Linked DNA regions of Saccharomyces cerevisiae S288C. The protein of the gene in region 3 binds, or shares a complex with, the protein of the main gene of each other region. Each region holds a gene or a part of one and is shown on either strand. Other genes may lie near its edges. A codon is read from its position in the direction of its gene.

Region 1 (5,376 bases), on a different chromosome or scaffold from region 3:
ATTTCAGACAGCTTTATAGGGGGAAAGAAAGCACTCGCAAACTTGCTGCCTGTTCGCAGTCATTGGTTGCAAAAACTAAACTCTACTCACGCACACTGGAATGAATGGCAATATTCTTTTTTAGGTTAACCGGCCGGACAGTAATATAGTAATCGTTTTGTACGTTTTTCAAGAAGCGACGCACAACTGTTTTCCATTTTTTTTTTTTTTTTTTCAGTGATCATCGTCCATGAAAAAAATTTTTCATTTGTCTCTTTCGTGCTTCCTGGATATATAAAATACGATTTATTTAGTTGTCTTTGTCAATCCTCATCTTTCTTTACTCATTATTTCATTTCGGTTTTGTCATCTCTAGAACAACACAGTTACTACAACAATCAATCATGTCTCACAGAAAGTACGAAGCACCACGTCACGGTCATTTAGGTTTCTTGCCAAGAAAGAGAGCTGCCTCCATCAGAGCTAGAGTTAAGGCTTTTCCAAAGGATGACAGATCCAAGCCAGTTGCTCTAACTTCCTTCTTGGGTTACAAGGCTGGTATGACCACCATTGTCAGAGATTTGGACAGACCAGGTTCTAAGTTCCACAAGCGTGAAGTTGTCGAAGCTGTCACCGTTGTTGACACTCCACCAGTTGTCGTTGTTGGTGTTGTCGGTTACGTCGAAACCCCAAGAGGTTTGAGATCTTTGACCACCGTCTGGGCTGAACATTTGTCTGACGAAGTCAAGAGAAGATTCTACAAGAACTGGTACAAGTCTAAGAAGAAGGCTTTCACCAAATACTCTGCCAAGTACGCTCAAGATGGTGCTGGTATTGAAAGAGAATTGGCTAGAATCAAGAAGTACGCTTCCGTCGTCAGAGTTTTGGTCCACACTCAAATCAGAAAGACTCCATTGGCTCAAAAGAAGGCTCATTTGGCTGAAATCCAATTGAACGGTGGTTCCATCTCTGAAAAGGTTGACTGGGCTCGTGAACATTTCGAAAAGACTGTTGCTGTCGACAGCGTTTTTGAACAAAACGAAATGATTGACGCTATTGCTGTCACCAAGGGTCACGGTTTCGAAGGTGTTACCCACAGATGGGGTACTAAGAAATTGCCAAGAAAGACTCACAGAGGTCTAAGAAAGGTTGCTTGTATTGGTGCTTGGCATCCAGCCCACGTTATGTGGAGTGTTGCCAGAGCTGGTCAAAGAGGTTACCATTCCAGAACCTCCATTAACCACAAGATTTACAGAGTCGGTAAGGGTGATGATGAAGCTAACGGTGCTACCAGCTTCGACAGAACCAAGAAGACTATTACCCCAATGGGTGGTTTCGTCCACTACGGTGAAATTAAGAACGACTTCATCATGGTTAAAGGTTGTATCCCAGGTAACAGAAAGAGAATTGTTACTTTGAGAAAGTCTTTGTACACCAACACTTCTAGAAAGGCTTTGGAAGAAGTCAGCTTGAAGTGGATTGACACTGCTTCTAAGTTCGGTAAGGGTAGATTCCAAACCCCAGCTGAAAAGCATGCTTTCATGGGTACTTTGAAGAAGGACTTGTAAGAAGTTTTGTTAGAAAATAAATCATTTTTTAATTGAGCATTCTTATTCCTATTTTATTTAAATAGTTTTATGTATTGTTAGCTACATACAACAGTTTAAATCAAATTTTCTTTTTCCCAAGTCCAAAATGGAGGTTTATTTTGATGACCCGCATGCGATTATGTTTTGAAAGTATAAGACTACATACATGTACATATATTTAAACATGTAAACCCGTCCATTATATTGCTTACTTTCTTCTTTTTTGCCGTTTTGACTTGGACCTCTGGTTTGCTATTTCCTTACAATCTTTGCTACAATACCATTTGCCCTTGGGAGCTTGTTTCAGGCCTACGCAACCATAATGGAACCACTCGAAGGGACAAGCCGGATTATCACAAGCCACCATTGGCCCATAAGATACATTCCTACAGAAACAATAAACCTCCTCTTGATTATTATTACCCTCTGTTACATCACCCTGGTTAATCCCAATTGTGGGGCTAGTTATGCTCTCTTTTCTTTCCCTCGATTTAGCCTTTTTCAAGTTAATCTTTAAAAGCAGTTTTGGCTCCTTATATGCTCCTGGTTCTTCTAACGTCAACTTCGACTTGATATTCTCTAGCGAAGAGTTGAAATTTTTTGTCACTGACTTCTGTATCTCTAGTTCCTTCTTATGCTGCTTTAAGAAATGAATCTGATCATCGACCAGATCATTAATATAAGTCGCTACCAGCAACAGATCCCTACAGGCCCTTTCCATACCAGGCTCATCCTCTTCATTCTTGAATAAGTCGATTGTTTGCATCAGTCGAAGAGATCTTATTAGTTCACATGGTAAATGATCCAAAGTGCTAAGGAAACTGTACCTGATATCCGAATCCGAGTTTTCGTTGGCGAGATGTTCCATTGCTGTAGACGAAAAAAACTTCCTTGTAAAGCGGATGTGCTAGCGCATCATACATTTCAGTTCTATTAAGACTTTCACAGATGCTGTTGTGATGTTCTGTGAGCCAATCCCAAATGTTTGTATAAGGACGGAAATAAGACGGAGCGCCACGTGACTGAAGATTTTTTTTTTCTCGGATTTCTTGGTAATGGGCGGCCGGTATTTCCGGCGGCCAAAAAATGCGAGGATTTGGTTGGTGGAGAGGGTCGAGCGCCTTTACCCTGCGTAGATACTAAGGGGGCTCTTTCTAGTATATAAACAATTTGAATAATAACGAGGTTAGACGTCCAACTGGATCCATAGACTATCTAAGCTTTTAGTAGAGGCCATTCGTTTTCTTATTAATCATCGGTTTCACAATCTTTCTTTGTTAAGCAACATTTTATACATTTTTGTACTTTATCTTCAAATATTAAGGACAAGAAAGAAAAAGAAAAAGAATCCATATTCTATATTAGTGTAACACTATTTTTCTTAAATATTTTTTCCAGTACTCCCCCAGTTTGATAAAAAGCATTCATTGAATTTCCCCACATTTGTGATATCTTCAATTGATTAGTTTGAACTAGTTCTGAAAAATAATATTTTACAATTTGCATTTTCATTACACTATATCATCTACTATTTTTTCTCAGAAGCGGAAGTTATAACTAATTTGACAATGTTTTCAAATCTATCTAAACGTTGGGCTCAAAGGACCCTCTCGAAAAGTTTCTACTCTACCGCAACAGGTGCTGCTAGTAAATCTGGCAAGCTTACTCAAAAGCTCGTTACAGCGGGTGTTGCTGCCGCCGGTATCACCGCATCGACTTTACTCTATGCAGACTCCTTAACTGCCGAAGCTATGACCGCAGCTGAACACGGATTGCACGCCCCAGCATATGCTTGGTCCCACAATGGGCCTTTTGAAACATTTGATCATGCATCCATTAGAAGAGGTTACCAGGTTTACCGTGAAGTTTGTGCCGCCTGCCATTCTCTTGACAGAGTTGCTTGGAGAACTTTGGTTGGTGTTTCTCATACCAACGAAGAGGTTCGTAATATGGCCGAAGAATTTGAATACGATGACGAACCTGATGAACAAGGTAACCCTAAAAAGAGACCAGGTAAGTTGTCCGATTACATCCCTGGCCCATACCCAAACGAACAGGCTGCAAGAGCTGCCAATCAAGGTGCCTTGCCACCTGATCTATCTTTGATCGTGAAAGCTAGACACGGTGGTTGTGACTACATTTTCTCTTTGTTGACCGGTTATCCTGATGAACCTCCTGCTGGTGTGGCTTTACCACCAGGTTCTAATTATAACCCTTACTTCCCAGGTGGTTCCATTGCAATGGCAAGAGTCTTGTTTGATGACATGGTTGAGTACGAAGATGGTACCCCCGCAACGACATCTCAAATGGCAAAGGACGTTACCACCTTTTTAAACTGGTGTGCCGAACCTGAACATGACGAAAGAAAGAGATTGGGTTTGAAAACGGTGATAATCTTATCATCTTTGTATTTGCTATCTATCTGGGTGAAGAAGTTCAAATGGGCCGGTATCAAAACCAGAAAATTCGTTTTCAATCCACCAAAACCAAGAAAGTAGTTGACAAAAAAATGAAAACCACTATTATTTAAATTACGGAAAAAAAAAAACCAATAAACAAAAAACATAATAAAAGAAATGAAAAAAAAGAATATTAGTAGAGCATACTGAATTGTTTTCAGAAAGAGAGTGAAAGGTAACAAAAATTTACCTACTTTTCCTTTTTATTTCTCTGGTTTCGTTTCTTTTTTTTCGGCCACCCTATTTATTTTTTCACTGCTTGTAAACAACGTCTCACTTCAATAGTGTCTCCTTCATGTACTGAGATACTGCTGCAAGCGAAATATCACGAATAATAATATAAAAAAAAAAAAAAAAAAAAAAAAAGATGTTTAAATGTTAACAACCTAACAGCAATAAAAAATAAAAATAAAGGTAGAAGATTGCAAGAAAGAAACTTTACAATATTTTGTTTGGATGCCCAACACCGGCGTCTTGGTGTTCTTCTATAATATTTATTTTATTTATTTTTTATTTATATATGTACATATATATTCCTATTATCTATTAAGAAAGTAAACTTAGTGTAAATCTACCACTGTTCCAAGGCTTTGGCCATCCACCTTCTCTTTCGTTCCATTAATAATATGACACAATCGTTGAGGATGCGAGCGAGACCGTTATGGTCGATCTTTGAAGTCGCCGCGTAACGCGCTAGTATTTTTTCCTTAAAGAGGCAAACACTTATTTTTCCCTAATAGGAAATCCCTCAAATCGGTTTTTTTCCATATTAGTCCCGTTCTATTGTCTGGTTTCATACCTCTAAAATTTCTCTCGCTGTTCCATCAATTAATACAATCAAGGCACAGCCAGCAAATACTAATAATTCTCTTAATAACTGCTTCCCCTTTGCAGCACCGATAAGGGATCTTTAAGACGGTCTTGAAAATTTTTCGTTAGTTCATTTTTCATTCTCGGAAGTTTTTTTAAATTTTGAGAAGAAGAGCTGGTTGCACATTCCAAGGTGATTAAAGGGATTTGATTAAGTATATATTCACCAACCTGGGTTGTGTAGTTGAAAAGGGGAATAAAAATATCTCAAGAATACTTCGTGAAAAATATTCACTATGGATAAAAGCATGATCAAAAAAAGAGGCAGGCCTCCCATCACCAAAGATTATCCCAATCCCCTACAAAGCCCCATGGCGCATTCTTCAATGCAGGTTCAGAAGCAGGGGCCTCACAGTTTTGCCAAACCTTTGATGAAAGTGGGGCAATCTAGTCCATCCCCGAATAAAAGAAGACTCAGCATCGATCATCATCATAATTTGGCGGCAACTACGAGAAAGGGCAGATACAGGGGCGTTCTT
Region 2 (6,055 bases), on a different chromosome or scaffold from region 3:
CTCCCCAACAACTTCCTTCAAGAACCCCAAAAAAGGGAAACATCCTTATCCCTGATGACATGATAAGCGAGGTTCCTTCTATTTCCGTGGGTATTTCCAGTAGCAACCAATCGGCCAAGTCAACCAATTCCAACATTAAGGGACCGTTGTACACTAAGAAGTCTAAAGAATATATACTCGCCCTGGAAAATCAAAAGTTGGCTTTAAGGGAGGCTGCTAAGCATCAGCAAGAAGCTCATTTTGCTGCTAATAGAATAGCCTTTGAAGTAGCCAATTTTAAGACTGCTTCGGATGCAGGCGGTAAGCTTACTGAAAAGTCATCAGAAGGCACCATTACGAAGCAAAGAGAAGAGGTGTCACCTCCAAATGTTGAAGCTGATCGGGAGCTTGAGAATAATAAACTTGCAGAAAACCTCTCAAAAGCCGGCATTGATAAGCCCATTCATATGCATGAGCACTATTTCAAGGAACCTGATCAAGATAAGTACCAAGACGGTCATTCTATTGAAAATAACGAAGTTACGCTGGATGTTATTTACACAAGATGCTGCCATTTAAGGGAAATTTTACCCATTCCGTCTACCCTAAGACAAGTAAAGGACAAGACAGCTCCCTTGCAAATATTGAAGTTTTTGAACCCTAAGCCTACCTTGATCGATATTCTTTCCTTTTGTGATTTCATCACCATTGCTCCCATTCACACGATTGTTTTCGACAATGTAGCTTTAAACCAGGATATGTTCAGAATAATTATTTCTGCTTTGGTAAACTCCACAGTTTTGGACAAATTGAGTTTAAGAAATGTACGAATCGACCAAGATGGATGGAAATTACTATGTAAGTTCCTTTTGCTAAACAAATCACTGAACAAGCTCGACATTTCCCAAACGAAAATCAAATCTGACCTTGCTGAATCACTATATCGCCATAACATGGATTGGAACTTGTTTACTGACGTCTTGTCTCAGAGATCTCACAAACCTATAGAAGAATTGTTATTCAATGGTATTCAATTTAGCAAAATTCCTTACTCATGCTTTGCACGTTTACTGACATCCTTTGCTACCCAAAAAAACTTTCCAGAATCGGGCATCAGGCTTGGTTTAGCAGGTGCCACTACTTCCAATATCTCTCAGGATTGTCTGAAATTTATCTTCAATTGGATGTCTCAATATAACGTCCAGGGTGTGGATCTAGCGTTTAATGATCTGTCCACTATGATTAAGCCAATGGTTGGTAAACTATCTGCTCTATCATATGATAACTTAAGATATTTCATTTTGAACAGCACTAATATTTCGACTTCTTATGATTTAGCTTTGCTCTTGAAATATCTTTCTAAGTTGCCTAACTTGATTTTTTTGGATTTGAGTAATTTGTCGCAATGCTTTCCTGACATTTTACCCTACATGTACAAGTATTTACCAAGATTTCCGAACCTGAAGAGGATACATTTGGATAGCAATAATTTGACATTAAAGGAACTAGCTGTCGTTTGTAATATTTTGATTAAGTGCAAATCGCTCTCGCATGTGTCAATGACTAATCAAAACGTTGAAAACTTCTATCTAATGAACGGCACAGATTCTCCCGTTCAACAAACTAACACAGACGGCGACTTGGATAGTTCGAGCACATTGGACGTTAAGGGCCAATTTGCTAAAAATAGTTTTTCATCCACACTTTACGCATTTGCTAGAGACTCTCCAAACTTGATTGGTTTAGATTTTGACTATGATTTGATATCAGAAGAGATTCAATCAAGAATAGCACTGTGCTTGATGAGAAATATGAAACGGACCATGGATTCGACTTTCCAGTTAGATGAATTGGATTCGCAAGATGATTTGCTATTCGATGGCTCTTTAGTAACTATGACCGCTGAAAGTGTTTTAGAAAAACTGAACTTGTTAAGCGATAAGAGTACAAAGGTCAAAAAAGACACCACGAAGAGATATTTGCTGAAAAAATATATTGAAAAGTTCCATATCTTGCACCATAATGTTCAGCATACAATAGATACTATGTTCGAAAAAAGGAAATCAGGTGAATTGCCATTGCAAGAAAAAGAAAACCTTGTAAGATTACTCCTTTTGGAACAAAACTTATGCAATATACTAGAATTGTTTTCGCATAATCCGAATCTGAATGATGTCCTTGGATCCAGCAGGGATGATTCGAAGGAAAGTGTTGACTCCAGCGAAGATTCAAAATTACCAGCATTGAAGCACGTTGAATCCGGATACCATGTTCCCGAAGAAAAAATACAACCTGAGAATGATGTAATTACAGCAAGACCACATTTAATGGCCACCGATTCTGGTAAAACTATTGACGTTTTCACAGGCAAACCATTGGTGTTCAAGCATACATCATCTAGTACTTCTGTAGGTTGTAAAAAGCAGGAAGAAGAAGAAGGTGAACTACATAAATGGGGTTTCTTCGTTCAGCAGCAGAGGTCTTTATACCCTGAAAATGAATCAACAAGGCAGACACCTTTTGCATCAGGTGATACGCCTATCAACACAGAAACAGCTGGTAAGTCAACTTCATCTCCTTCAGTTTCAACTTCTAACAATGAAACTGCTACCACTAGTTTATTTAGCCCAGCTAATCCTAAGATTTTACCAAAAATTCCATCCGGTGCTGTCTTAAGATCGGCAATCATGAAGGCTAAAGGTATTGATTCTATCGATGATTTGATTCAGAACGTTAACTCCAACAACATAGAATTGGAGAACATTTATGGTGAATCCATTCAGAATAGCGCTTCGACATTTACACCAGGCGTGGATTCTGATGTATCTGCGCCCAATACCGATAAAGGATCCGTAGAAACATTGCCTGCAGTCTCAACTGACGACCCAAATTGTGAAGTCAAAGTCACTGCTACCTATGACAAACTATTAAATAATTTGTCGATGGAGAGGTCAATCAGACTTTGAAGATACATGAATCCTTCTCTTCACTGATGGATCCATTTTCTTCTTCCTTTTTTTCACTGCATAAAACTTTTTTTATCAACCTTTCATATTTTCCATATTTATTTATATATACCGCCAGTAAATTTGGCGATATTCGATAGACTTAACAGATAAACTTTTTAAGATGAATTAAAGCACAGAGGATTAAGCTTACCTCTTTAGAATCAATTGATATGTTCGGCTACATATTAGACACTGCATATAACCCAAGGCGGGTAAAATATGAACAATTTCAATTGGGCTTTGTAAATGCTTACTTTTAAATGTAAACGAAGCTCATCAGAAGAAAAAAAACAAGAGATTTGGAAAAGGCTACTTCGACCTCAATAATTTCTCAGCCTATCTTTCTAATGTCATTACCACAATGGTGTCCACCGCATTCCACCTTAAAAAGAAATCCAACTACAGGAGAGGACGTATACTGCATATGTAAAAGGCCAGACTATGGGGAGCTGATGGTGGGATGTGATGGTTGTGATGACTGGTTTCATTTCACCTGCCTTCATATTCCTGAGCAGTTTAAGGACCTGGTGTTCTCTTTTTATTGTCCTTACTGTCAAGCGGGGATTACTGGTAAGAATAAGGACGCCATAATCAATGGTGAAGGGAGCTTGCCAAAAACCTTATGGAAAAGAAAATGTAGGATAAGTGATTGCTACAAACCATGTTTACAGGATAGTAAATACTGTTCTGAGGAACATGGTAGAGAATTTGTGAATGATATTTGGTCGCGATTGAAAACAGATGAGGATAGAGCAGTCGTCAAGAAAATGGTCGAACAAACAGGACACATAGATAAATTCAAGAAATTTGGACAACTGGATTTCATTGATAACAATATAGTTGTAAAAACAGATGACGAAAAGGAAATATTCGATCAAATTGTTGTACGAGACATGACGTTAAAAACTCTTGAAGATGATCTGCAAGAGGTTCAAGAGATATCGCTACCATTATTCAAAAAAAAGCTAGAACTTTTGGAAGTATATTTGGGATGGTTAGACAACGTATATACCGAAATGCGCAAGCTGGACGATGATGCTGCAAGCCATGTGGAATGTGGTAAAGAAGATTCCAAGGGGACAAAAAGGAAGAAGAAGAAAAATAGCAGCAGGAGTAGGGCTAGGAAAAATATATGTGGCTATTGTTCTACATACGAGCGAATACCCTGCTCTGTGGAAGAATTTGTCAGAGATTTTGGAAGTAATGAGGAAGCCACCAAAATACATGAGGTATGCACGAAGTGGAAGTGTAACAGACATTTGGATTGGGTGTCTACTAATCAGGAACAATACCTCCAGCAGATTGACTCTTTAGAATCTATGCAAGAAAGGTTGCAACATCTGATACAGGCCAGGAAAAAGCAACTAAATATACAATACTATGAGGAAATTTTAAGAAGAGGTTTGTAACGGCGTTGGAGCCTAATCAAATATCAGTTTCTACATATATATATACTTCGTAGTGATGATATATCAATTGGAGCGTCCTTGCATAGGCAACGCCTATTTGGATAGTCTTCAATTTCGACCCCATTTCACGTGAATAAAGCGGAGCTATCTCTGTTTTGCAAGGGTTCGGCCGATTTTGCTGCGAAATTTTAATAAGCGCATATTGATTTTTTCAAGCAATACTTTGTATATTCATGATCGAATGAATGAAAAAGCACCACTCCTCAGCCGCATACCTTCAGTATCGTATTTATTTCCTTCTTTAATCACTTAAAATGAGCACTTTAGATATTGCAGAAGACAACAAAATAAAAAATGAAGAATTCAAAATTTGGAAAAAATCAATACCCTCATTATACCAACATATTTCAAGTTTGAAGCCTATCTTTGGCTCAGGCGTTGACGAATCTCCATCGACACTTAGGAGTATAGTTTTCACTAACGATAGCTCATGTAATAAATCCAAAGGTGTTTTGAGCGTACCACTTTTATATTCTCAAGGGAGTGAAATCTTTGAGGTGGATTGTATAGTGCCACTCGGACTTCATTACAAAAAACCTGAAAGCATTTCAGAACCGTTAGTACAACCGGATTATACCATGGAATCTCAAAAGGTGGAGCAGACTGTTTTGATTCCAAAATGGGAATTTAAAGGTGAAACGATTGCAAAGATGATTTACGTGGATAACAGCGAAATAAATGTAAAGGTGATAGCCCTTTCTACCAATGGTTCTTTGGCATGGTTCAGAGAAGGTGTCAAATCGCCCGTTTACACAATGATGGAGCCATCCACTTCTCTAAGTTCAGCATCGTCCGGAAATCAAAATAAACCCTGTGTTGATTTTGCAATTTCTAACGATTCAAAAACCTTAACAGTAACTAAGGAAAAACATCTTGATAATGAAAACGCTACAATAAAATTGATAGACAACTCAGGTAAAATAGGAGAAGTGCTTCGTACAATACCTGTTCCTGGCATAAAGAATATTCAAGAAATCAAGTTTTTGAATAATCAAATATTCGCCACTTGTTCTGATGACGGTATCATAAGGTTTTGGGGTAATGAGATAGGCAAAAAGCCCCTTTGGATTCTAAACGATTCTTTGGACGGCAAAACAACTTGTTTTGCTGCATCACCGTTTGTTGATACATTATTTATGACGGGAACTAGTGGTGGGGCTCTCAAGGTTTGGGATATACGTGCAGTTATCGCTTTAGGGGATGCTGATGCTGAGTTAAATATCAACCAAGGACATAATAAAGTCAATGAACTATTCAAAGTTCATCACTTTTATAGCGAGCAAGTGTCCAAAATAGAGTTTTCTTCCATTTCGCCTATGGAAGTGGTTACAATTGGAGGGTTAGGTAATGTTTACCACTGGAATTTCGAACCTGTTTTTGCCATTTATAACGAGATACATGAGGACTTTCAAGGCATAATATCTGACGAATTGGAGGCCGAAAGCATGGCATTTTATCACACTGAGGGCTGCAGAAGAGAAATAGGAGAAAATAATAAGGTTAATACCGTTGCTTATCACAAATACATTGAGGATCTAGTTGCTACAGTTGATAGTGACGGGTTGTTAACTGTATATAAGCCGTTTACTGGAAAAGTTT
Region 3 (5,058 bases):
AATGGAATCTATATTTCTACATACTAATATTGCGATTATTCCTCATTCCGTTTTATATGTTTCATTATCCTATTACATTATCAATCCTTGCACTTCAGCTTCCTCTAACTTCGATGACAGCTTCTCATAACTTATGTCATCATCTTAACACCGTATATGATAATATATTGATAATATAACTATTAGTTGATAGACGATAGTGGATTTTTATTCCAACAATTACTTTAACATGAATAAGCTCAAAGTAAGCCAGAACAATTACCTACAAAGAAGTGATTTCTATAAATTCGAAAGAAACGGCACTGAATGGGAATATATATTTGCATCAAATTCAGCTTGTCTTGATTATAATAATAATACAGCTGTTAATAATGATATAATTTCGTCACTTAATTATTGCATCAGTGATGACAGATATTATGAAACTGCAGCGATGTGTGTGGTTTTGAAATTATCTCAAGATTGCTCTTTTGATGTGAGGCTTCAACGAAGTGGAAATGGGCCATATAAGAATATCTGGGATATGCCTTGCGGAGAATTACAACAACACATTGGTTACAAAAATGGTATATGCTATAATAGTGAAAACACGGTGTTATCGGCAGTAGGTGTAGAACATCGATATCATAAAAGTGTTTCTCGTCTATAAGATAAATTTGTTGGCGGTTATAGTTCGAAAAAGTGTATTGGACATGTTATAGATCAGAAAAACTTGGATAAAAATTGATAAAAGAAAAATGAACCACAATACCTTTACATAGTATTTTAACTCATTATCCTCGTGAAATATATATATATATATGGATATATATGGAACTTTGTTGGAATGAAATTTTAATATCATCTATTTCGCAGCACTCATGTTACTATTATATCACATGCGGTGTAAGAGGATGGCATAAAGATTGAGAAACAGTCATCCAATCTAATGGAATGCACGACACAATAATGAGTGACAACATATAAAAGGAAGTAAGATACAATAATATTATTATGTATAACTATCGATTTCCTTTTGTGGATTCCTATATCCTCGAAAAGAACTTCTAGTATAATCTGTGTACCTAATATTACAGCCTTTGAAAACAATGGAATCCCAACAATTATCTTATTCCCATAATTCTCATATACAAGATACAAGGGAGAAGTAAACAATGGATACAAGGAGAAATATGGCGCTAAAGGCTGATTTAATTGGATTGTTCGATTCGAAGTCGCTCAATAGAATTTGATGGCTCCCTCAGAGTGCGGTTCAAATCATTCGGATACTTTGAAGAAAGGGTAATATATTGTACCTTTGAACATGAGTTCATGAGTTGAAAAAGGTAAAAATAATCTGCTAAAATGATTACTCTTCTCTAAGAATGTGGTCTTCCCCACCCACGTGATAGTAATACATAGGAACCGTTTTACTGAACGCTACATTACCCATCAATATAATATCATGATTTAGCCGCCGAATTTTATGTAACTAAAAGGTTGCGGGACTTTGAAGCCCAGGTAGAAGTGTTTCATTCACAGAAGGAGATGCCAATGTGCTATTATTATCCCTGTGTGGCGCACTATTCAAACGGATTTGACTGTTCTTCAAAATATCGTCATCGCAGACGCTAAGGTTGTTGGGAGAAGCCACAGTCATTAGATACGATAGTCTCATGATGACTTTTTCTCGTTTTTTTTCGACGTTTTAAGGTCGCGTCGAAGTTAGGAAGGTTAGTTCATTTACAACTTGTTTTTGAATACTTACTTTCTTAATCATCTATTTTGATTTGTTGTCCCTTAGGTCTATAGAACAGGATATCCCGCCGCGCAATTTACTAATGACCTACACTACCAGACAAATTGGTGCCAAGAACACCTTGGAATACAAAGTTTATATCGAAAAGGATGGTAAGCCAGTTTCTGCCTTCCACGACATTCCCTTGTACGCTGACAAGGAAAACAACATTTTCAACATGGTTGTTGAAATTCCACGTTGGACCAACGCCAAGTTAGAAATCACCAAGGAAGAAACTTTGAACCCAATCATCCAAGACACCAAGAAGGGCAAGTTGAGATTTGTTAGAAACTGTTTCCCTCACCATGGTTACATTCACAACTATGGTGCTTTCCCACAAACTTGGGAAGACCCAAACGTAAGCCACCCAGAAACTAAGGCAGTTGGTGACAACGATCCAATTGATGTGTTGGAAATTGGTGAAACTATTGCTTACACTGGTCAAGTCAAGCAAGTTAAGGCTCTAGGTATCATGGCTTTATTGGATGAAGGTGAGACCGATTGGAAAGTTATTGCCATTGATATTAACGATCCATTAGCCCCAAAATTGAACGACATTGAGGATGTTGAGAAATACTTCCCAGGTCTGTTGAGGGCTACTAACGAATGGTTCAGAATTTACAAAATCCCAGATGGTAAGCCAGAAAACCAATTTGCCTTCTCCGGTGAAGCTAAGAACAAGAAGTACGCTTTGGATATCATCAAGGAAACACATGACTCCTGGAAACAATTAATTGCTGGTAAGTCTTCTGACAGCAAGGGTATTGATTTGACCAATGTTACTTTGCCTGACACCCCAACCTACTCCAAGGCTGCCTCTGATGCCATCCCACCAGCTTCTCCAAAGGCAGATGCTCCAATTGACAAGTCTATTGACAAGTGGTTCTTCATCTCCGGTTCTGTTTAAAATATTTTGAATTGAAAATGAGACACCTACCACGTATGCGGCTTCAAGTTGTTTAATATGTAGCTATATATCGATTATATAACTGACTCATGAATGAATATCTTCCTGCTGCAATTTTTCTTTAACCACATGGAAAGCCATAAATCTTGCCTCCTACAAGGCCTGGCTTTTTTCGAGGGTATCGCCAGGAAAAACAAATCAATAAATGTAAAACAAATAGAACCCTATTTTTTTTTATTAAAACCTATATTTTTGTAATAAAAAATAACTATTATACAACTGTTAAAGAACCCAGTAAACCTAAATATATTGATTTATATTTTATTGTGTTTTTGTTCGTTTTTTACTAAAACTGATGACAATCAACAAACTATGATCTTTCACCTCTTAATCTTCTAGCCAACTTGATATCCTTCTTTTGGATAGTGACACGCTTGGCGTGAATGGCAGCCAAGTTGGTATCTTCAAATAAAGAGACTAAGTAGGCTTCGACAGATTCTTGCAAGGCACCGATGGCAGAAGATTGAAATCTCAAGTCGGTCTTGAAATCTTGAGCGATTTCTCTGACCAATCTTTGGAAAGGCAACTTTCTGATCAACAGTTCAGTAGATTTTTGGAATCTTCTGATTTCTCTCAAAGCAACAGTACCTGGCTTATATCTGTGAGGCTTCTTAACACCACCGGTAGATGGGGCGGATTTTCTGGCAGCCTTAGAAGCTAATTGCTTTCTTGGGGCCTTACCACCAGTGGACTTTCTTGCTGTTTGCTTTGTTCTGGCCATTGTTTGCGTTTATATATTTATGTTAGATGTTTTTCTTATTAACTAGAAAGAAAGAATATAAAAGGTTGAGGAAAGAGATGTATCCCGAAGAATACACAGTCTTTTATATATGTATTTCAACAAGGAGCCGTGGAGGGTACCAAAAAGAAAAATCGCCCGGGCATTTCGTTATCTTCCACGCTAAAAGTCAAGGAGAGATATTACGGCCAGGATCGCAAAGGTGCAGAGCAAGGAAATGTGAGAAATTGTGAGAACGATAATGTATGGGACAATGCGAAAATGTGAGAACGAGAGCAAAAATCTTTTTTGTATCTCCCCGCCGAATTTGGAAACCGCGTTCTGAAAACTTCGCATCTTCACATAGTAAAACTGTTCCGAGCGCTTCTCCCCATAATGGTTAGTGGTAAAAACCGAAGTTGTTTACTTTAGCAAATGCCCGCGAATACGGTGGTAAATTGCCACCCCCCCTTCCCCATTCATTGGGTAAAGACCAATTTGATGGATAAATTGGTTGTGGAAAAGGTCTAATTCTTTTTCCTATAAATACCGAGATATTTTTTCTATATGATGGTTTCCGTCGCATTATTGTACTCTATAGTACTAAAGCAACAAACAAAAACAAGCAACAAATATAATATAGTAAAATATGTCCGGTAGAGGTAAAGGTGGTAAAGGTCTAGGTAAAGGTGGTGCCAAGCGTCACAGAAAGATTCTAAGAGATAACATCCAAGGTATTACTAAGCCAGCTATCAGAAGATTAGCTAGAAGAGGTGGTGTCAAGCGTATTTCTGGTTTGATCTACGAAGAAGTCAGAGCTGTCTTGAAATCCTTCTTGGAATCCGTCATCAGAGACTCTGTTACCTACACCGAACACGCCAAGAGAAAGACTGTTACTTCTTTGGATGTTGTTTATGCTTTGAAGAGACAAGGTAGAACCTTATACGGTTTCGGTGGTTAATTTAGCTAATTCTAAGAAAACGGTAACAACAAGCAAATATTTGGGATTCGTATTCAACTGCCCGGTTTTTCTTCTACAAATATGAGTGTATTATAGCGGGTTTAGGAGAAATATGTACAATTATAAACATATAAAGGGTATTTAATTTAATTTTAATTGGGTTTAAACAGTTTGATTATTTCTGCTACTTACCGAACTTGCATGGAATAGGGATCGCTTGTCTGTAACTTACACGCGCCTCGTATTTTTTAATGATGGAATAATTTGGGAATTTACTCTGTGTTTATTTATTTTTATGTTTTGTATTTGGATTTTAGAAAGTAAATAAAGAAGGTAGAAGAGTTACGGAATGAAGAAAAAAAAATAAACAAAGGTTTAAAAAATTTCAACAAAAAGCGTACTTTACATATATATTTATTAGACAAGAAAAGCAGATTAAATAGATATACATTCGATTAATGATAAGTAAAATGAAAAATCACAGGATTTTCGTGTGTGGTCTTCTACACAGACAAGATGAAACAATTCGGCATTAATATCTGAGAGCAGGAAGAGCAGGATAAAAGGTAGTATTTGTTGGCGATCAAAAGGAACATTGATACTCCATATACTGATGGCCGGCAATTGTAAGCCCA
Region 4 (6,028 bases), on a different chromosome or scaffold from region 3:
GTTTAATAAGACCGCATGAACTGCATCTAGCGCTCTCTTTCTAACTTTTGGTCTTACATCTAAAGAAAGTTCAAGTATACCCTGCAAACCTCTTTTTGGAGTGACGTTTAGATCATAAGTATTGTTCCAGGCTTGTGCATCTTGAGCAATAAGAAGAGATTCTAAACAACCAATAGCAGCTCTAATTAGAGGGGCATTAGCCTTTTCTGCAGTGATACATGGGGCAATTTTCGTTAGGATTTCAGAAAACTTCGATCTTAATAATACCTTAGGCGAATAATGAAATATCAGATCTAGAAGATATGTAGATGAGGAAGCCAATTGAATATCTTTTATTTCATGAGTAGATGGGTCTACTGCTTGATCCAATAGTGACATAAAGGAAATGATATAATTTACAATGTTTTTTGAAACATCATTTGTAGCTTGACCTGCAATATTTTCCTCAACGGCAGTTAATATTATAGCAATATGCTTTTGATTCTCCAATTTAGAGTTTACTTGGGAACGAATTTTAGCCAGCTTGTCCTCCAGCTCTAAAAGAAAAGCAACTTTGTCTTGATCCATGATGAACTCTGAGATTTGCTGATTCAATTCGCGAGATGCTGTTCAAAATCTAGAAATTACCTGGTTGAATTCAATCAGTAAAAAAATAAGTTGAACCTTTTCAAACTAAAACTCTTCTCTGAGAGAATTAACTGCGACCGAGGAAGTTCTAATTGCGCGATGAGATGAGATGATATAATTAAAATTTTAAACACTGCAGCGAAAAGAAAAATTTTCACTAATTATGATCATCTATCATTCAGGACGGAAAAAATGAAATAGTACACCAAGAACAGTTGTAAGAAAAAAGGAAGGGGAATATATACACGACTTAAGTAACGGAGGAGTTCTGACTGGTATTCCGTTAAGAAATTGTAATAGAGTTTATCAAGTATGACCTGTGGTCTAGTACGAATAAGGTTAGCTAGATTTGGAAGAAAAAATAGTCCGGTCTATAATATCGTAGTGGCTAATTCCCGTAAGGCGAGGGATGCTAAACCGATCGAGGTACTAGGAACCTACGTGCCGGTACCCAGCCCAGTGACCAAGAGAGAATTGAAGAGGGGCGTTGTACCTATTAAAGACGTGAAGCTTGATTTTGATAGAACAAAATATTGGATTGGTGTGGGAGCACAACCTAGCGAAACAGTTACTAAACTATTACGAAAGGCTGGTATATTAAATGATGCATGGGCCACTAGTAAGAACAGCAATGTGAATAGGAAAGTTGTATTTGAAAGAATGGAAACATTGGAGTGAAAAAGATCGGAAAAAAAAAAAAAAAGAAAAAGAAAGGAAAGCAAAGGAACGTGTTTTAATTGATGCGAGGTGTATATGTATATGTTGTATATATGTTTTACTTGGCGCTTTTATATCTATCAGACTTGTAAATAATACATCTATGGCCAACCAGAAAATGGAGAATGAGACTTGAAATGGAATAAATTAAATTCTTAATCGAATGTGAAGAAAAGAGAAAGTGTAATAGAATTTCATTAAGATAGTGTCATTATAGGTCATGTATTGTGTGCTCCTGACTGTTCGGCACTATTTACCTTTTAAGACGCAATAAATCTCTTTTTAGCTTCAATGATTCATTTGGTAAAATAGAGGATTCTTCAGTGGACACGTTTGCTGTAGGTAAACGAGTACTAGCTAAGGGGGACGATATGATATTGCTACGTTGTCTCGATAGCAGAGCTATGTTAAAATTAAATGCGGAATCTGTTGTAGGCGTTGGCGTGAGTAAAGAAAAGGCATTACTGTTGCTAACACTATTGTTAGAATTTGTGCGGGCTAAGATAGGTTGTGGTTGTAATTCTGAAATATACTGGGACGAGCCATTTCTATTCTTCATTGAGACGTTGGATCTTTGTAAGGAATACCAGTTCAACGTGTTGGTCAGGCTGGTAGTAGAGCTTACATTCGGATTCGAGTTTGTGTTTGATAAGGGGATTGGATCGGTAATATCTGCGTTAACAAACGGGGAGGGAACTCTAAGCATTTCAGAAAACTGTGGTGGGGGTGGTGGGGGTAAAGAAGTTAAAGAAGTGTTACGAGAAAGATAGCCGTCTTTTCTGACCTCTTGCAACAAGCGCTGTCTTACCAATGTTAAAAGCCAGCTATTTCTGTCACATCCGATATCCAATTGTTGAAGCTCAGATTGCTGTATAGCCGCTTTGGCAACTCTATTCAATATTCCTGAGGGAGGGTTTGTAGTATCAAACGGAGTTATCGTAGGATCGCTGCACGTGTTTTGGTAAACTTCTAATAGAAGGCCGACAAACTGCGGTGTGAACGAAGTGAATTGAGCGTTATTGTTGTAAAAGGTATGTTGTTTGAAATTCTGAGCGAAATCGGAAACGGAACTCGCCAGCGAAGAGGCGCTATTCTGTCTGGTTCTATTAGCATTGAGGTAAGGTGGAAAATACGAGGCATCCGAGCTTTTCGCCTGATTGGAGCTGCTATTATTTATAGGAGTCATTACCGGAGTGAAAACGGGAGTGGACAAGTTTCTGTCAAATGCAATCATGTCATCGTAATCACAATTTAACAACGGCTGAGGGTCCTGAGTTTGATGTTGAGCTTCTGGTTGGATGGGCAACGCGTCTTCGGGCTTGCAATTCTTGTCCTTATTTTCTTGAGATCGCCTAGAAGAGCCGGCGTGTAATCTCTTGTGCAATCTTTCCAGCAGCATTCTATATCCTATTAAACTGGTTCTAGTTCGCTTTACTAAGAAGGGAATTACAGGTTGAAGCTAGGGGGAGGAAAATACACGCTTCTATAATAGCATTCTTATATATGTTTATCTACAAGGGAAATAGAGCTATACGAAAAAAATAGAAACAGAGACAGCAACAGGAAACAGAAACAGAAACAAAAACAGAACTTTGTTTAAAGTTCGGAGTTCAAGCGTCATTTCTACACTAGTTCTTGATGAGACCTAATGAGTTTGACGTGCCTATCCAGATTGGGTGACGCGTAAAGGAGTATACCTCCTTTTTTCGCTTCACTTGAGCTTAAAATGACCATTTCTATTTCCCAAAGTGGGCATATGTCTTCCCCCTGCGCGAGTTCCGGAGTGGCAAAAAAATGTAGTAAGAAGCCGCCCTTCCCGCGCCGTTTTCCTTACGGAGGCGTCTCCCGCCCTACGCAGAGGCCCCCTGCCTGCGTGCTTTCTGCCGTCCAGCTATGGCCCAGCATTAACTCTGTTAGCTTCGCCGATCTTAAGAATAAGGAATAGACCACATTCTCTGCATGTGTTTCCATCTTTCGTAACTGTCTCTGTATCAGTAAATGTCGCTATCTGTGCCCGTCACTGAGCTACCAACCAGACGTACCGCGATCTCTCCGTGTTTCGATGTCTGTTTCTACCGCCTCTACAGAGATGTCGGTTAGGAAGATCGCTGCTCATATGAAAAGCAACCCCAACGCTAAAGTAATCTTTATGGTGGGTGCCGGGATATCCACTTCTTGTGGGATACCAGACTTCCGATCTCCGGGAACTGGCCTGTACCATAACTTGGCCAGGTTGAAGTTGCCGTACCCTGAAGCAGTGTTCGATGTCGATTTTTTCCAATCGGATCCTTTGCCATTTTACACTTTGGCTAAAGAGTTGTATCCCGGAAATTTCAGACCTTCTAAGTTTCACTATCTTTTGAAATTGTTTCAAGACAAAGACGTTTTGAAGAGAGTATATACCCAGAATATAGACACTTTAGAAAGACAGGCCGGTGTTAAGGATGATCTGATCATCGAGGCCCATGGCAGTTTTGCTCACTGTCATTGTATCGGATGTGGTAAAGTTTATCCCCCACAGGTTTTCAAATCCAAGCTGGCAGAGCATCCTATAAAGGATTTTGTCAAGTGTGATGTGTGCGGTGAACTGGTAAAGCCGGCAATAGTTTTTTTTGGCGAAGATCTACCGGATTCCTTTTCGGAAACTTGGTTAAACGATTCAGAGTGGCTTCGTGAAAAAATCACGACATCTGGAAAACATCCTCAGCAGCCTCTTGTCATCGTCGTTGGCACCTCACTAGCCGTTTATCCCTTTGCGTCTCTGCCCGAAGAAATTCCTCGAAAGGTAAAAAGAGTTCTGTGCAATTTGGAAACGGTGGGCGATTTTAAAGCTAACAAGAGGCCTACAGATTTAATAGTTCATCAGTACTCGGATGAGTTTGCCGAGCAACTCGTTGAAGAATTAGGTTGGCAAGAAGATTTCGAAAAGATACTTACGGCCCAAGGTGGAATGGGGGATAACTCTAAAGAGCAATTACTTGAAATTGTACATGATTTAGAGAATTTGAGTTTGGATCAATCTGAACATGAGAGTGCAGACAAGAAGGATAAGAAGCTACAGCGTCTCAATGGCCATGACAGCGATGAAGATGGAGCAAGCAACTCCTCTTCTTCACAAAAAGCCGCTAAAGAATAATGTGTTGGTTGCAATGTTTTCCGTCCCCCTTTTTTTTTCCTTATTCATCTAGCATGCGCGGCAATTTGATAGTTTAAAAATAAAAGAGACGCGTAATTGAGCTTGGCTTTCCTACGCGTTTGACATTGCATACATATTCTTTCCCCCCACCCCCTTATAGATATCGAAAAATTTGTAAGCTCTGACGTGCAATTCTACTTTAGCCAATTAGGTTTGATAAAAAATACGGCGCCAGCTGACTTTTTTCTCTTTCTGGATAAGTACTCAGAATATATAGATAAGTAGAATGGGTTCCCGAACCGTCAATGCAGCCAATTCATCTCAATACTGCGCCGAACAGCTTCTGAAGCGATCTTGACTTTGTGGGCAGCTTGAAATTTTCTTGGATGATTCTGTCCTATTTGAGCTTTACCTCCTCCCATCGAAAGGGCGAAGTCACACCGTTTTCAAAGGTGGAGTGTTACCCCACCCCCCACGCTGACTCCACATCTGACTCTCTACCGTTTTATTATAGCGAACGTTAACTCTGAATGTATGTGTGGTGTGTATGAATTGTATTTACTGCCTGAAATGGAGTCATAAACTCCTTTATACAATTTCAAGGAATTTTTGTAGCCGCGACGGGACCAGTGGGAAGTTACTAAAACCATTGTTTAGTTGAGCCGCCCAAGATGTGACTTCATGGCAGCTATACGTTCATTTGGGCTTTTGGCACTAAAGGCGCTCTTCCGACTGTATTGTTTCCATAAGGTCTATTATATTAGTTACAACATTTTATATAGGTTTATAAAAAGAAAATAGTGCGCAAGGAAGAAATAAGCAGTAAAAGAATATTGTTTAAAAAAATCGCATCATTCCAAATTGGTTAGGATATCATTTTTTAAATTGTAAAGTAATTGATACTGGTTTATTATTTGAATATCAACTGATGGATTAGTGAATAACTGGAAAATTTCTAAATCCGTGGGGAACAAATTTGGAATCGATGCTATTTTTTTTAATATTTCCGGGTCGTTGTTTAGGCAGTTTTCAAAACAAATACTTTTTTCAACCAAACATTTGATTAACTGAACACAGGATATGTTAATTGACGGTAGGAGCACCTTTGAATAATTTTGTTGCTGTAACAAAGTATTCTTACTTGTGGAATTGTTAATATTCAATATTATCTCACTTAACTTCAATAGTCCAGATCCAATATTTTCTTCAGAGCTCAACCACACAAATGGTAAATTCTTGTTGAAATTGAAGCTAGAATCTTTGTTGCCGTTATTGTTACTGTTACTGTCTGAATTATTCTCACTGATTTCAAATACTTCATTGGATAACGGCAATATTTTTTGTACAATGACTAAGATGCTAGTTAGACTCTGAGAAATTACCGGAGAAAATTGGTCGATCAGCAAACTTGGATCAGCTGATTGCGATAACACTTGCTGCAGCGGTATGGCAGAAAATAAAAACGAAACCACATCATTTAGCAAGTTGTGCCTATTGTTATTATTTTTATTGTTATCATTGTATAAATTCAAAAGTCTTCGTAACAAC

The links.
Region 1: the proteins of HHT1 (region 3) and YNG1 are in contact, whole or in part, in an NMR structure (PDB 2JMJ), measured with the Saccharomyces cerevisiae proteins. Residues at the interface, in NP_009564.1 of Saccharomyces cerevisiae: Ala2 (codon at 3,462), Arg3 (codon at 3,459), Thr4 (codon at 3,456), Lys5 (codon at 3,453), Gln6 (codon at 3,450), Thr7 (codon at 3,447), Ala8 (codon at 3,444), Arg9 (codon at 3,441); in NP_014707.1 of Saccharomyces cerevisiae: Tyr157 (codon at 1,968), Ser164 (codon at 1,947), Gly166 (codon at 1,941), Pro167 (codon at 1,938), Met168 (codon at 1,935), Val169 (codon at 1,932), Ala170 (codon at 1,929), Asp172 (codon at 1,923), Glu179 (codon at 1,902), Trp180 (codon at 1,899), Tyr183 (codon at 1,890), Leu188 (codon at 1,875), Lys189 (codon at 1,872), Gln190 (codon at 1,869), Ala191 (codon at 1,866), Gly194 (codon at 1,857), Lys195 (codon at 1,854), Trp196 (codon at 1,851).
Region 2: the proteins of HHT1 (region 3) and SPP1 are in contact, whole or in part, in a crystal structure (PDB 6J2P), measured with the Saccharomyces cerevisiae proteins. Residues at the interface, in NP_009564.1 of Saccharomyces cerevisiae: Ala2 (codon at 3,462), Arg3 (codon at 3,459), Thr4 (codon at 3,456), Lys5 (codon at 3,453), Gln6 (codon at 3,450), Thr7 (codon at 3,447), Ala8 (codon at 3,444); in NP_015187.1 of Saccharomyces cerevisiae: Tyr24 (codon at 3,404), Asp31 (codon at 3,425), Gly33 (codon at 3,431), Glu34 (codon at 3,434), Leu35 (codon at 3,437), Met36 (codon at 3,440), Val37 (codon at 3,443), Gly38 (codon at 3,446), Cys39 (codon at 3,449), Asp40 (codon at 3,452), Asp43 (codon at 3,461), Asp44 (codon at 3,464), Trp45 (codon at 3,467), Phe48 (codon at 3,476), Glu55 (codon at 3,497), Lys58 (codon at 3,506), Val61 (codon at 3,515), Phe62 (codon at 3,518), Ser63 (codon at 3,521), Phe64 (codon at 3,524).
Region 4: the proteins of HHT1 (region 3) and HST2 are in contact, whole or in part, in a crystal structure (PDB 7F4E), measured with the Saccharomyces cerevisiae proteins. Residues at the interface, in NP_009564.1 of Saccharomyces cerevisiae: Thr7 (codon at 3,447), Ala8 (codon at 3,444), Arg9 (codon at 3,441), Lys10 (codon at 3,438), Ser11 (codon at 3,435), Thr12 (codon at 3,432), Gly13 (codon at 3,429), Gly14 (codon at 3,426), Lys15 (codon at 3,423); in NP_015310.1 of Saccharomyces cerevisiae: Phe67 (codon at 3,605), Gln115 (codon at 3,749), Ile117 (codon at 3,755), His135 (codon at 3,809), Ile181 (codon at 3,947), Val182 (codon at 3,950), Phe183 (codon at 3,953), Phe184 (codon at 3,956), Gly185 (codon at 3,959), Glu186 (codon at 3,962), Asp187 (codon at 3,965), Leu188 (codon at 3,968), Ser193 (codon at 3,983), Ala227 (codon at 4,085), Val228 (codon at 4,088), Tyr229 (codon at 4,091), Pro230 (codon at 4,094), Glu236 (codon at 4,112).

The regions. Positions count from the first base shown.
Region 1 is NC_001147.6:444,303-449,678, forward strand, and holds YNG1 (Yng1p), read right to left. Parts: upstream 2,437-5,376; coding exon 1,777-2,436; downstream 1-1,776. Other genes in the region: 60S ribosomal protein uL3 RPL3, read left to right, coding at 384-1,547; ubiquinol--cytochrome-c reductase catalytic subunit CYT1, read left to right, coding at 3,137-4,066; MSA1 (Msa1p), read left to right, coding at 5,134-5,376. UniProt on the Saccharomyces cerevisiae protein: Histone-binding component of the NuA3a histone acetyltransferase complex. Targets the NuA3a HAT complex via histone H3K4me3 to facilitate transcription initiation at promoter regions.
Region 2 is NC_001148.4:289,707-295,761, reverse strand, and holds SPP1 (Spp1p), read left to right. Parts: upstream 1-3,334; coding exon 3,335-4,396; downstream 4,397-6,055. Other genes in the region: protein phosphatase regulator GIP3, read left to right, coding at 1-2,945; UME1 (Ume1p), read left to right, coding at 4,711-6,055. UniProt on the Saccharomyces cerevisiae protein: Component of the Set1C/COMPASS complex that specifically mono-, di- and trimethylates histone H3 to form H3K4me1/2/3, which subsequently plays a role in telomere length maintenance and transcription elongation regulation.
Region 3 is NC_001134.8:254,738-259,795, reverse strand, and holds HHT1 (histone H3), read right to left. Parts: upstream 3,466-5,058; coding exon 3,055-3,465; downstream 1-3,054. Other genes in the region: inorganic diphosphatase IPP1, read left to right, coding at 1,821-2,684; HHF1 (histone H4), read left to right, coding at 4,112-4,423. UniProt on the Saccharomyces cerevisiae protein: Core component of nucleosome. Nucleosomes wrap and compact DNA into chromatin, limiting DNA accessibility to the cellular machineries which require DNA as a template.
Region 4 is NC_001148.4:524,262-530,289, reverse strand, and holds HST2 (histone deacetylase HST2), read left to right. Parts: upstream 1-3,406; coding exon 3,407-4,480; downstream 4,481-6,028. Other genes in the region: mRNA-binding protein RRP12, read right to left, coding at 1-567; mitochondrial 37S ribosomal protein bS16m MRPS16, read left to right, coding at 940-1,305; CIP1 (Cip1p), read right to left, coding at 1,598-2,743; SWI1 (Swi1p), read right to left, coding at 5,332-6,028. UniProt on the Saccharomyces cerevisiae protein: NAD-dependent histone deacetylase that is involved in nuclear silencing events. Derepresses subtelomeric silencing and increases repression in nucleolar (rDNA) silencing. Its function is negatively regulated by active nuclear export.